Linked DNA regions of Stegostoma tigrinum. The protein of the gene in region 1 purifies or fractionates together with the protein of each later gene. This does not show direct contact. Links are inferred from orthologs where the notes say so. Each region holds a gene or a part of one and is shown in the gene's direction. Other genes may lie near its edges.

Region 1 (7,791 bases):
ACACAACTGCGAGGATCTCCTGTAATTAAATCAAAAGGTTGAGTTAATTAACTTTCAAAAACCACAATCAATTTCCTTTGCGTTAGGTATAAATTCGACCAGCAGAGAGTTACCCCCCTGATTCCCACTGACCCCGATTTTGCTAGGGGCCTTGTGCCATATTTGTTGCTCTGATGTCAAGGGCAATCAGTTTCACCTCATCTTTGGAGTACAGCGCTTTTGTCAATATTTGGACCAAGGGTATCAGGGGATGAGTGACGCTGGCAGAACCTAAACTGTCAGTGAGCAGGTTATTCCTTCTGCAAATGCTATTTTGATGACACTCTCAATGACCCCTTCCATCACTTTGCTGATCAGTGACAGTGGGCTGATGGGCAGTAATTGATGGGGTTGGGTTTGCCTGTGTTTTGGGAACAGGACATACCTAGGCAATTTTCCACACTGCTGGATCAATGTCACTGGTGCAGTTGTACTGGAGCAGCTTCAATGGGAGATTGTTAGTGCTGGAATACAAATGTTTAATGTTATTGCTGGAATATTTTCAGGACTCGTATCCAGTGCCATCTGCTATTTCTTATGATATACGGAATTGAATAGGCTGAAGACTGGCATTTATGATCACCATTTGGCACTTATGGCTGTAGGCGAAAACAAATACTTCAGCGTTGCCTTTTGCACCAATATGCTGTGGTCCCCCCAATAATTTGCAATAGGGATAACCTCCTACTCCAGTGAGTTTTAAATTACCAACCACTATTCATGACTGGGTGTGACAGGACTCTTTAGCTTAAATCTGATCAGTTGGTTGGGAGATCACTCAGCTCTATCTATTGCTTATTACTTGCTTTTACTGTTTGGCCTGCAAGTTGTCCTGTGCTACAGCTTCTTCAGGTCATACCTCATTTTTAGGGATGTGTGATGCCACTTCTGGCATGCTATCCAACACTCTTCATTGATTTCCCCGATTGATGGTGGAAGTAATGAGGGATATGCTGGACCATGAAATTATAGACTATCATTGAAAATAATTTGCAGCTGCTGAATGCACATTACCTCAAATTTGTCCAATTTAGAGTTGATAGCTGTGTTCATAGTCCACCCTATTTAGCACAGTGGTAGTGCCACACAGTAGGATGCATGGTATCTTCACTGTGAAGGGTAGACTTTTTCTTCATGCGAACTGTGCAGAGATTTTCTTTCAATTTGCTTGTGGGACTACTCTTACTGATCTTCATGGATGGACACATCCATAAGAGCATACGTTGTTTCCTCTTGTTGGTTTCAATACCAGCTGTTGCAGACCCAGGCTAGCAGCTATGTCCTTTAGGACACAATCCGCTTAATGATACTAATGAGCCACCCTTGGCGATGAACATTGACATCCTCCACACAAGAGTACATTCCGTACTTTTGCTATTCTCAGTGTTTCATTCTACATTGATGAGTACTGATTCATTTGCCTCAGTAGAGGAGGTATGGGGAGGTAGGTGCTAGTGAGCAGTAGATTTCCTTGCCCATCTTTGAACTGATACCAAGAGATTTCATAAAGTCTACAATGAATTTTGAGGACTCCCAGGGTTACTCCTTCCAAACTGTGTACCACAGTGCTGCCACATGAGATGGGTCAGAGGTTGTGATGGTGTTGTTTGGGACATTATCTGCCAAATATAATTGTGTGCTTGTTCATGGGACAATTGTCCAAATTTTAGTATAGCTCCCTGATGTTATTAAAGAGGGCTTTGCAAGGTTGACACTGCTGTGTTTGCTTATGTCATTTCTGGTGCCTAGGTGGTCTATCCGGTTTCATTTGTTTCTTTCGAATTTTTAGCAATGATACAACTAAGTGTCATGGGAGGCTATTTCGGAGGGCAGTAAAAGTTGGCCTAATCAGTGACACCCACATCCGGTGAATGAATTTTTGAAAAGTCCAATGTACGGATGGTAAATTTCATTTAAAGGACATTATTGAACCAGATGGATTTTTACAACAATGGTTATGTGAATGTCATTAAGTCAATTTCCTAGTTCCAAACTTTATTGAATTCAAATTTCACAATCTGCTTAGGTGACATTCAAACTCATTCAATCCTCAGAATATTAGCCAGGGGTCCTGGATTAATCGCCTAATGACAGTTTCACTGCACCACCTCTCACGTCACTAATATTTATATTTTTAACTAAGGGACTGACTAGCTCAGTTGTCGAGGTGCTAGTTGATCCAACACATCATCCTCTGACACTTCCGCCATCTGCAATCTGACCCCACCACCAAAGACATTTTTCCCTCCCCACCCTTATCTGCTTTCTCGCGGGACCACTATCTGTGACTCCCTTGTCTGCTCCACACTCCCCTCCAGAACCACAACACCCAGCATTTTTCCCTGCAACAGCAGGAAGTGCTACACCTGCCCCTACACCTCCCCCCTCACCCCCATCCCAGGCCCCAAGAAGGCCTTCCACATCAAGCTGATGTTCACTTGCACATCTGCTAATGCGGTATACGGTATCTGCTGTTCCAGACGTGGCCTCCGCTACATTGGGGAAACCAAGCAGAGGCTTGGGACCACTTTGCGGAACACCTACGCTCGGTTCGCAACAAACAACTGCATCTCCCAGTCACGAACTATGTTAACGCTCCCTCCCATTCCTTAAACGACATGTCCATCCTGGCCCTCCTGCCATGCCACAACGATGCCACCCGAAGGTTGCAGGAACAACATCTCATATTCCGCTCGGGAACCCTGCAGCCCAACAGTATTGATGTGGACTTCACCAGCTTGAAAATCTCCCCTCTCCCAACTGCATCCCAAAACTAGCCCAGCTTGTCCCTGCCTATCCTGTCCTCCCACCTCCATCTCCTACCTTGACCTGTCCGTCCTCCTCGACTAACCTATCCCCTCCCTACCTCCCCACCTATACTCACCTTTACTGGCTCCATCCCCACCTCTTTGACCTGTCTGTCTCCTCTCCACCTATCTTTTCCTTTATCCATCTTCTATCCCCCTCCCCCTCTCTCCCTATTTATTTCAGAATCCTCTTCCCCTCCCCCATTTCTGAAGAAGGGTCTAGGCCCGAAACGTCAGCTTTCCTGCTTCTGTGATGCTGCTCGGCCTGCTATGTTCATCCAGCTCTACACCTTGTTCTCTCCCTGCATCGATTCTTGTTCTGGTTGAGGTAGTGCTGGGATCTGCCTCCTTGACCTGCCCTCAGAGTGGAAGACAATAGCAAATTACCATTTGAAAAACTGCCAAAGAAACAACTTTGGATAAAATATCAGCAAACAATAATCCAAGGACCGGCCTCTACACGGTGCACATATTCGTCATATATCAAATATTGTTTTGAGAATTTAAATCGAAAACAGTGGGCCACCACCAAATGCGACAGATCAAACCATTCTAGGTAGAGTCCAAAAACCAAGCAGGAAAATATCAAGGCATACTTGTTTTGTTTGGTGCTGCTCATTCCATTATGGCTGACTGGATGGATGAAAGTTTCACCGAAATTACAAGATTGAGATTTCAGTTCTCACTCTGGAGATTTAAGCTCAGAATCTAGGTTTTGTACTCCAGTACACTAATGGATCGGTGTTGATTGACACAGCTGCTAACTTTTGGATGAGACATTAAATCAAAACATAGCTGGCTTTCAAAACTGAACGTAAAATATCCTTGACACTATTTCATAGGAGAGCAGGGTATTCATCCTTCCTCTCCTGGCGATACATTATCGTGGAGTCAACATTACAAAAGGATTATCTTGCCATTATTCTCCGCAGAGCTTGACTGCCACATTTCCTACATTACAAGGACTACATTTCAATGCAAGGTGGTTGTATCACACTTTAAAGTTCTGAGGTTGCGAAATTTTAAAAAAAGTATTCCGTTTTCGTATGAGATGGCAAGAACTGCAGATATATGGAGTCACAGACAACAGTGTGGAGCTGGAGGAACACAGCAGGCCGGGCAGCATCAGACGAGCTGGAAAGTTGACGTTTGGGGGCGGGAACCTCCTTCAGAAAAATGAAGAAAATATTCTGAAGAACGGTCCCGACCCGAAACGTCAACTTTCCCGCTCCTCTGATGCTGCCCGGCCTTTCCCATTTGTATCTCGCCCCTCCCCCACATCTGTTCCATTACCCACCCATTGTGGCTGTACTTGAAAAGTTCAATGAATATTCATTACTTGTGCATTAATGCGTTTAGTATTCTGAGATAATAGGAACTGCAGATGCTGGAGAATTCCAAGATAATAAAGTGAGGCTGGATGAACACAGCAGGCCAAGCAGCATCTCAGGAGCACAAAAGCTGACGTTTCGGGCCTAGACCCTTCATCAGAGGGTCTAGGCCCATCTGATGAAGGGTCTAGGCCCGAAACGTCAGCTTTTGTGCTCCTGAGATGCTGCTTGGCCTGCTGTGTTCATCCAGCCTCACATTTTATTATCTTGCGTTTAGTATTCTGTTTGCAACAATTAGATCGGCAGGTCACAGACTTGTATACATTGCTACAAAGTAGTCAATAATAATCCAATGGTTTCCACAATAAATACTGACTGCAGTTGCCTCTATGAAAATTGCAAAGTAAAACAGTTAAAACTTCCAAAGGCATGATCTCTATGATAGCTGGCAGACTGGACTGCTGGTTCGTGCTTTTGAAATACCTGTAAAGCAGACCGTTTGAGAGCTCGTTTCTGCTGAACTGAGACAAGTTTGAGCAGCGCCTGCAGTAGACGGCAGAGACCGAGGTTGAACTGAGGTGGGGTGGGAGGGGAGGGGAGGGGTGAAGAGACAAACGCTCCAGGCTGGGGTCAGGTTACTTGCGGCGAGCTGCTGATGGTGGCTGGGAGGGGCGGAGTGAGGCGAGGCCAGGCGTTCACCGTCACTTTATAATCTCATCTTCAACACAAGGCAGCCACTCAGAAATAACAGCCCGAGATCAGACAAAACATTAGCAAGCACTTTCCGACAGATCAGGAGGCATTTCCGATATGGCGGCCCTGGAGCAATGGTTTCTTATCTACTTGTCCTTGTTTTCCCTCAACAAATGGACTTTAGCTTTTAACTTGGATACCGAAAATTTCATTAAGAAAACCGGAAAGCCGTCAAGCTTGTTTGGGTTTTCTCTTGCTATGCACAGGCAGCTCACGCCGAGAGATCAAAAAATGTAAGTATTTGTAGACTGGATTTATTATTAGGTGAAGAAATCGCTATTGCCAAAGTGGAAGAACGGTCGGGAAAATTCCTCTGTGTTGTTACGCTTTAACGCGGGAGATCTCTTGCACACTTCGGCTGCAGTGATTCCAAAACGGCTTGAGCGAACTTTTGTTTTGGACTTTGTGCGAAGTGTTCGGGTACTCGCTGCAGCCGCGCGACCTGTTCGCAGCGGCTGGTGCAGGAAGGTCACGTGCGCCCTCCCCACCGGGAGGAACATAACGACCGCCCGGGGGGTGGTCATCCCCATGGCCACCCCGCTGTTTCTCCGCTCTGCAACCTCCACTGGTTTATGCCAGCACGCCACCCCTCCACCCCCCTTTTCTTTTAGTGCTGATTCCAAAGCTTTTCAATTTAGGGCAATCCTGTTTGGAATCTATAAAGTGAGGGTTTCTGAAGAAGGGTCCCTACCCGAAACGTCGACTCTCCTACTTGCCTGATGCTACCCGACCTGCTGTGTTCCTCCAGCCCCACACTGTGCTGACTTAAAAGGGCACGGGGGTTGTTTGGATTGAGCAGTGTGTCTACTCGGTCAGCGGTAGTTTCAGGGATCACTGATATTTAGGGCAGTGTTGTCGACTCCGTTCCCTGCTCCAGGGAATCTGATCACAGCGTTACATTACAGCCCCGAGTTGTCCCCAGTGAAAGGAATCAGAGCTTTATTACCCGTTCGACTGCCGGCCCTTTAACCAAAGAAGCAGGTTGTTTTCTGAGAAAATGTGATAGGTTTTTCTTTATCTTTTTATTTAAAAAAAGTCTTGCGGTGGTTGGAATCTTAGTTTTAATTACTGGGACTTTTTGCCCAGGACAATGCAGCGATTGTTCGGGTGATCCCAAGTTTGGTGTACAAACTTTTGAGAATGTGTGTTTGGTGTTGGTTTTGGGGTGGGGGTGGCGAGAGCTGCCTGCTTCACCGTACCATTGGCTGCACCTCTCCGGCTCCTCCCTTGCTGCCGGGCCCTGGTTACTGTGGTGCACGGAAATCCCGGAGCCTCACCCCACACCCACACCCCCGTGCATCGTGCTACACATAGTGGCAGGGGACCCAAACGAAATCCAAGCAAAAAACGACAAGAATGTTCTTTCTCTCCTTTTGGAATGAATGACCCTCTTACAAATAGCATGCCTTTAAAACCGAGTCTCAGAATGTCATCAGCAAATATTTTTCGCTTCAGCCGCTCACCATCGACAAACCCAATATATTCTATTTATTCCACGAAGTGCATGCAATTTTTAAAAACTTTGTCAATATACAGTAGCTGTGGAGCCACTTGTCGTTTAGTGTCGTCCTGTTTCTGGCGTAATTGGAATTGATATCTTCTCACAAGGGTTGCATCTTTGTACAGCCTTTTAACAGGAGAAAGAAACTATCCGAAAGGTAAAAGCGAAAAAGAACGACAGTGAAGATCTTAAAGGATCATTTTGAAAATGGGCCAGGAGATAACCAGGCCTAGACATGGAAAACATTTCAGAATAATCAAAACATTTGAAATCTCTGCAAGCCCAGGGTAGATCAGAGCACATGCAATTCAGAGCGGAGTCCGAAAAGTGAGGGATGACTGCATGCATATAGGGTTGTAGGAGGTTCCGGAATGGAGGAATATCGAAGTTTTGGAAGGACTTAACAGTATAGGTTTTGAATGCAGCGTATTAAGAAGTGAAAGGACGGGGATGATTGAAGTCGGAACATAAGGTGGGATGAAATTAAGGTTTCTAACCAGAATGCCGAGGCAGTTTGGAGGAGTGGGATGGGTTTCAGTGGTTGTGGAGGTAAGGAATGAGCAATGTTGCAGTAGAGCAAATAGCTTCACTGGCTACAACACTGAGATTTCACACGCTCCCGCTCTGCTGGGGTGAACAAGCAGGAATAGACGTGCATCTACGTATTATGGTGGCTCTGTGGTCCTCTGAGCGCTTATAGAGTCATAGAGACGTTTAACATGGAAACAGACCCTTCGGTCTGACATGTCCAAGCCAACCAGCTATTCTAAATTAACCTAGTCCCATTTGCCCCACATCCCTCTAAACCCATCCTATTCATGTACCCATCCAGTTGTCTTTTGTATGTTGTAATCGTACCAGCGTCCATCACTTCCTCTGGCAGCTCATTCCATACACGGCACCACGTTCTGCAAAAAAGCTGCCCATTAGGTCCCTTTCAAATCTTTCCCCCTTACCTTAAATCGATGCTCTCTAGTTTTGGACTCCCCCCACCCTGGGAAAAGACCTTGGCTGTTTACACTGTCCATGTCCCTCATGATTTTATAAACCTCTATAAAGTCACCCGTCAGCCTCCGACACTCCGCGCAAAAAAGCCCCAGCCTATTGACTCCCTACAGCTCAAACCCTCCGCATTTGGCTACATCCTTGTACATTCTTTCTGAACCCTTTCAAGTTTCACAACATGGTTCCTATTACCAGAATTAGACGTAATATTCCAAAACTGGCCTAAACAATGTCCTCTCCAGCCTCAATATGACCTCCCAACCTCAATTCTGGGTGAAAAATATAAATTGGTTAGAATGCAAAAGTCTTGGTGTTCTGACATATTTGCTTCTCTTCTGTCATTTTCAAGTTGCTT
Region 2 (7,133 bases), on another chromosome or scaffold:
TTTTAATATTTTGGTCATCTTTTGATGACTTTTAAACATTTCACAATTCTCTGTCTAATCTTTGCAACATCTATGTTTTTATTTTTTTTCTTTAAATTTGATACTAAATCTCACTTAATTAAATTACATTTTCATCTCAGACCTTTCAAAGGTTCACCTGAAACAGCAGGTAGATTGGGGAGAGACTCACATTGCCTCCTCTTTGCAGAACACCTCCGCTCAGTTCGCAACAAACAACTGCACCTCCCAGTCGCAAACCATTTCCACTCCCCCTCCCATTCTGTAGATGACATGTCCATCATGGGCCTCCTGCAGTGCCACAATGATGCCACCCGAAGGTTGCAGGAGCAGCAACTCACATTCCGCCTGGGAACCCTGCAGCCTAATGGTATCAATGTGGATTTCACCAGTTTCAAAATCTCCCCTTCCCCTACTGCATCCCTAAACCAGCCCAGTTCGTCCCCTCCCCCCACTGCACCACACAACCAGCCCAGCTCTTCCCCCCCACCCACTGCATCCCAAAACCAGTCCAACCTGTCTCTGCCTCCCTAACCGGTTCTTCCTCTCACCCATCCCTTCCTCCCACCCCAAGCCGCACCCCCATCTACCTACTAACCTCATCCCACCTCCTTGACCTGTCCGTCTTCCCTGGACTGACCTATCCCCTCCCTACCTCCCCACCTATACTCTCTCCACCTATCTTCTTTACTCTCCATCTTCGGTCCGCCTCCCCCTCTCTCCCTATTTATTCCAGTTCCCTCTCCCCATCCCCCTCTCTGATGAAGGGTCTAGGCCGAAACGTCAGCTTTTGTGCTCCTGAGATGCTGCTTGGCCTGTTGTGTTCATCCAGCCTCACATTTTATTATCCCTGTAAGTGCTCTCACTTTTTATACTCTGGCTTTCTCAAAGAACAAAGAACAGTACAGTACAGCAGCAGGCCCTTTGGCCCATCAAGACTGCACTGTTACATGATGTGTTTCCAAATTAAAAACCTTTTGCCTCTATGGTGTCTATATCCCTCTATTCCCTGCCTATTCATATATCTGTCAAGATACCACTTAAACATTACTATTGTATCCACCTCCAACAACTCCTCCAGCAGCACATTCCAAGGAGCTACCACTCTCTGTGTAAAATTAAACTTGCCTCTTACATCCCCTTTAAAGTTACCCCTCTTTACCTTAAATCTCGGTTCCCTAGTGATTGACATTTCTACCCTGGGAGAAAGACTCCAACTATCCATGCCCTTGGTAAGTTGGTAAACGTCTTTCAGCCCACTAATCCTTTGATGTTCAAGTGATAACTAACCAAGTTTCTCCAATCTCCCGTCATCTATACCCCTCAATCCTGGTAAACCCTGTTTCTGTACCCTCTCCAAATCCTCCACTTCTGGTGGTTCAGTGGTTAACACTGATGTCTCACAGCATCAGGGTCCTGGGTTTGATTCCACCCTCGGGCGACTGTCAGTGTGGAGTTTGAACATTCTCCTTGCATTTGCGTTGGTTTCCTCTGGGTGCTCCAGTTTCCTCCCACAATGTGCAGGTTAGGTGGATTGGCCATGCTAAATTGCCTGTAGTGTTCAGGGATGTGCAGATTAGGTGCATTATGGGGGAATGGGTCTGAGTGGGATGCTCTGAGGGTCAGTGTGGACTTGTTGGGTTGAAGAGCCTGTTTCCACACTGTAGGGATTCTGTGAAAATTCTATCTATCCTTCTGCAGCAACCAGAACTGTACACAATATTCCAAATGTGGCTGAACTAAAGCTCTGTACAGCTACAACATGACTTGCCAATTTTTATACTCTATGCCCTGACTGATGAAGGCAAGCATGCCAGATGCCTTATTGACCACTTTATCCACTTGTGTTTCCTCTTTCACGGTCCTGTGAACCTGTACACCTAATCCCTCTGTACATTGATCCTACTAAGCGTTCTGTCATTTACTGTATAACAATATATAGTTACATCCTGCTCGCTTTTGCCCCTCACTCACTCCCACCCCTCCCTCCTTTTCTTCTCCTGCTCTCCTCTTCTTCCCATCTTCCCTATCTTTTCTCCCTCTGGCTCCCTTCCAGTCTCTCCTCCTCCCTCACCGCCCAGACTTCCCCTGCTACACACTTTTATCTTTCCTTTCTCCTCTCCTCTTCCTCCTGTCTCCATTCTCTCTCTCCCTTTTCCTTCCCTCTTCTCCCCAGCCCTCTTCTCTCTTTCTTTCCTCATCCCTTCCTCTTTTCACTGGAAAATGTATTCTGTTTGTGAAACATCATTTCCCTAGCCCACCCACTGGTCTCCTCAGAGTGAAGGACAATAATGGTCCTCTCACAAATTGGGTTTTGATCTGTACTGGGCTTGTAACAAAGCTGCCTGCATCTCCCTCCCACAGCCTGTGCGTTCCAGCTAGACTCAATCATACAACAACACAGCTCACACTGAAACATGGTTTTGTTGTCCCCATGGGCAGGGAAAGTTCTTTCTCTCTTTTTGCTCCTTCTCAAAATGCAACCCCTGGTAGCAGCAATTCATCTATCATTTCTATCACATTTCAAACTGCAGTCCTTGCCCCCCACCCCTGCCTCCTGTGATACCTCCCTTAACCACTTAGCTAATATTTCCCCACCCATTGATTTTAGACACTGGAGAACAATAGTCAGAAATTCCCGGGTGGTGAGTAAGAATCTGGAATAATTCCCGAAAGTCTAACAGTTTAAATCCTTCAGGCTACAGCCTGTGGAATTGAGAATGGAAACAGAGTCAGTCATGCTAGGGGCTATTTTCCCTGTAGTGTTGGAGGCTGAGCAGGGACCTTATAGAGTTTTATAAAATCATGAGGAGCATGGACAAGGTGAATAGCCAAGGTCTTTTCCCCCAGGGTAGGGGAGTCCAAAACAAAAGGACATGGATTTAAGGTGAGAGGGAAAAGATTTAAAAGGGGCCTGAGTGGTAGCTTTTTCATGAGGAGGGTGGTGCATGTATGGAATGAACTGCCAGAGGACGTGGTGGAGGCTGGTACAATGACAACATTGAAAAGGCATCTGGATGGGTATATGAATAGGAAGGGTTTAGAGGGTGATAACAAGCTTTAGAGCTGGATGAACACAGCAGGCCAAGCAGCAACAGAGGAGCAGGAAAGCATAGTTGACGGTACTCTCTGGATGGTATGAAGTTAAATACAGTGACTGTCCAAAGAGACTTGGGGATTCAGGTGCATGGATCTTAAAATGTCATGAACAGACAATAATCAAGAAAGCAAATGGAACACTGGCCTTTATATCGAGATGACTGGGACCAGCATAATGATTTGTGGGCCAAAGGGCCTGTTTGTACGCTGTATAGCTCTGTGACTGGAGTACAAGGCTGTAGTTTTACAAAAACCTGGATAGACCCCCTCCCTTGGGGTATTGTGAGCAAACACGGGCACCACATCTTAGGAGGGAGAGATAGTCCTTGGAGGGGGTACAATGTCATCGAGGGCCGAAGGGCCTGTACTGTGCTGTAGTGTTCTATCTTCTAATGTAGGTTCACAAGAAACACACCTGGGCTTCAGGGGTTAAGTTATGAGGAGAAGTTATGCAAATTGGGCATGTTTTCTCTGCTATTTAGAAGGATAAAAGGGTGATATGATTGAAGTCTTCAAGATATTAACTGAAAAGGACAGGGGAGATAAAGGCAAACTCTTTCCATTGGCTGGTGATTCGAGAACTGGGGACATAGTCTGAGAATTAGGGCCAGACCTTTCAGGAGAGATGTCAGGAAGCACTTCTACGCTAAACGGGTGGGAGAGATTTGGAACTCTTCTTCCAGATCAGATTTTATTGGCTGATGATTTTAAATTTATTGGTAGATAAAATCTAAAATTTTACATCTGTGATAGATGAAGTTTCGTTAACCAAAGGGATATGGGCCGAAGTCAGGTATATAGAGTGAGGCCATGTATCGGCTATGATCTCATTGAATGGCAGAACAGGCCTCCTCCTGTTCCTATGTTACTATATTGTCACACAGCTGCTGGGAAGAGGTTGCCGTGTACAGACTGGCTCTTGTGCTTCTTACAACAGTGATGACATTTCCAAAACCCACCCATGGCTCTCAAGTATTTTGCTATGTCCAACACACTTGTAAGAAGTGCAAACGCTGTCTCCTTTCCAACTGGACTATACACTTCTGCCAGATCCGGGGAGGGTCATTGAGTCATACAGCATAGGAGAGGCCCTTCAGCCCTTCATGTCTGCATCAACCTATCTTTGCTATTCCCACTTTCCGGCACTAGGTCCACAGCCTTGAACAGTATGACATTTCAAATGCTCATCCGAGGACTTTTTAAAGGTAGGCAAACGGGAAGCTGGGAGAACACAGCAGGCCAGCCAGCGTCTGGAGGAAAAGTGCTGCCAAGGTTTTGGGTATTACCCTTCTTCAGGACTGGATATGGGGGGGGAGGGGGAGCTGCAGATAAATGGGGGGGCTTTAACAGATTGGTGGTGATAGGTGGACACTGGTGGCAGGTATGACCTGGTTGGTTGATGGGAGGGTTGAATGCAGTTGATGGCTGGAAGAGAGGGTCAGTAGGCGGAATGGAAGGGTCTGGAAAGGGAGGTGGGGGGGTGGCTGGGAATGTTATTTGAATTTGGAGAACTCAATGTTGAGTCCTACAGGCTGTAGGGTGCCCAGGCAGAAGATAAGGTGTTGTTCTTCAAATTTGTGTTCTTGTTCGCTGCGACACTGGAAAAGGCTGAGGATGGACATGTTGGAGGGGGGTGGTGGGTGGGGGGGTGCAGTGGTGGGGTTTGAAATGGGAGATGACTAGGAGGTTAGGTTGGCTGTTACGGGCCGGGCGAAGATGTTCGGCGAAACAGTTATGTAGTCTACGTTTGGTCACACTGACGTAAAGAAGACCACATTGGCATCATCAGAAGTAATAGACTAGGTTGGAGAAGATGCAGGTGAAGTTCTGTCTCACTTGAAGGACTGTTCACAGCCCTGAATATAGGTGAGGGAGGTGGTGTGTGGGCAGATATTGTATCTTTTATGGTTAGAGGGAAAGATACTGGGTGGGTCGGAGTGGTTGGTAGGGAGTGTGGCATGAGCTAAGGAGTGGCAAAGGGAATGGTCCTTGCAGAAGGCAGAGACGGGTGGGGAGTGGGAGATGTTCCTGGCGGTGGGGTCTAATTGGAATTGGCGCAAGTGTTTGAGGATGATACGTTAGATGCAGATGCTGGTGGATTGGAAAGTGAGGACAAGGAGGGTGCTATCTTTATTATGTTTTGTTGGTGGGTGGTTAAGAGCTGTGGAGCAGAGAATGGAAAGGGCACGGTGGAGGGCCGTCTGAATGACAGAAGTGGGAAAAGAGCATTGTTTGGAAAAGGCAGACATTCAGGATGCTTGGGAGTGGAACATTTTCTTATCAGACCAGATGTAATGGAGGCGGAGGAATTGGGAAAATGGAATTGGGTTTTTGCAGGATACAAGGTGGGAGGAGGTGTAGTCTAGGTAGCTATGGGAATATGTGGATTTACAGTAAGTGTCAGTCCGTAAACTGTCACCAGAAATGGAAATGGACAGGTCACAAAAACGGAGGGGGGTGTCTGAGATAGACCAAGTGAATTTGAGGTCGGTGTGGAAGTTGTTAGTGAAGTTTATAACCTGTTCCAGTTCAGCCTGGGTGCAGGACGCAGCACTAACGTAGTCATCGAGGTAATGGCGGAAGAGTTCGGGAACAATATTAGTATATGTTCTAATGAGCGTCTGTTTGACATAACCTACAAACAGGCAGGCATAGCTGGGTTTTTAAAGGTTGTGAGGTTTCTGCGTCAACTACCCTCCTGGGCAGTACATTCCAGATCCCTTCCACCTTCTGGGTGAAAATATTTTTATTTACAATCCTGTCTAAACCTCCTGCTTTTCACTTTAAACTTATGCCCCCTTTATTGACCCTTCAACTAAGGGGAACAGCTGCTTTCTGTACACCCTGTCCTTGCTCCACATAAACTTATACACTCCAATCAGGTTCCCTCTTAACCTTCTCTGCTCTAAAGAAAACAGCTTGAACTTATCCAACCTCTCTTATCATTGTCTCCCCACCTTCTCATTTATATTGTTTATATATTAATTAAAATCAAGCTGGCTGATAGCAGGGTGTGGGACATTGTAAAGTCAGATTCCATGAGTCTATGTCCGCTGACTGGCCTGTGGGACAGCTCTGCTAATTCAGCTACAGGGTCCCCCCCTCTCAGGGTCAGTTTGGAGGCCTCTGAGGGCTGTATTCTTTGCTCAGTCCAGAGGCTGGCAGCTATTTCTGTGGCACTCCTATGCAACCACTTGGCTCTCTAGGCCTGTTCAGATGGCAACCATAAGGAGGGCTGGCTTCTTACTTTAAAGTACAATAATAAACCTGAAGCTGTGTGTGTTTTTCACTGTGATCTCTCTCTGTGTATTTACTAGGTGTCCCGGGGTTGGCTTACTGTGTTTCTGTAGGTGCTAGATGAATGCAGTTACATTAGGATTGTAGTGTGGTGTCTCTATTTCACTCTGCGTGTATCCACTTAGGCACTAGGGAATGTGGTTATGTTAGTACTGCCCTGTGGTCTCCCTCTCTGTGTCTATGCACTAGGTGTGCTGGGATTGGCCTGACAGTGCTGTGTTTCACTCGGTGCTAGATGAATGCAGTTACATTAGTACAGTACATGGTGTCTCTCTTTCTCTCTGTCTCCATATCCACTAGATGTCATATGAATGCAGTTACAGTAGCATTGCCCTGTGCTCTCCCTCTGTGTGTGAATGCTCTGGGTGTCCTGGGGGCTAGCCTGACATTGCTGGGTTTCTCTCGGTGCTATATGAATGCAGCTACATGAGTATTGTACTGTGGTGCTCTCTGTTTCCACTAGGTGGTAGGGGAACGCAGTGACACTGGCACAACCCCGTGTGTGGGTGGCCCTGGGGCCAGGCTGGGTTGCTCCGGGATGAGGCAGGGCTCAGTTTGAGACGGGGCGGGTTTATCGATGCTTTGTCATTTTCGGCGAGTGCAGTTGAAGCGAAGTGAGTCGGAGGGCAGCCCCCGGAGCTGGGCACAGCCGCTGGGACAGTGAGAGGGTGTGTGTGTGTGTGTGAGAGAGAAACAGAAACAGCGAGCAGAGGCTACAG

The links.
Region 2: the proteins of integrin alpha-6-like (region 1) and CD151 antigen purify together in Homo sapiens (co-immunoprecipitation; 3 studies listed by BioGRID and IntAct, with this or other methods). This does not show direct contact. The link is inferred for Stegostoma tigrinum from reciprocal best matches to the Homo sapiens genes ITGA6 and CD151.

What each region holds. Positions count from the first base shown.
Region 1 is NC_081360.1:49,272,722-49,280,512, reverse strand, and holds the start of integrin alpha-6-like, read left to right. Parts: upstream 1-4,782; 5' UTR 4,783-4,987; coding exon 4,988-5,163; intron 5,164-7,791. UniProt on the Homo sapiens protein: Integrin alpha-6/beta-1 (ITGA6:ITGB1) is a receptor for laminin on platelets. Integrin alpha-6/beta-1 (ITGA6:ITGB1) is present in oocytes and is involved in sperm-egg fusion.
Region 2 is NC_081370.1:8,979,654-8,986,786, forward strand, and holds the start of CD151 antigen, read left to right. Parts: upstream 1-4,129; 5' UTR 4,130-4,322; intron 4,323-6,898; exon of another isoform or gene 6,899-7,133. UniProt on the Homo sapiens protein: Structural component of specialized membrane microdomains known as tetraspanin-enriched microdomains (TERMs), which act as platforms for receptor clustering and signaling.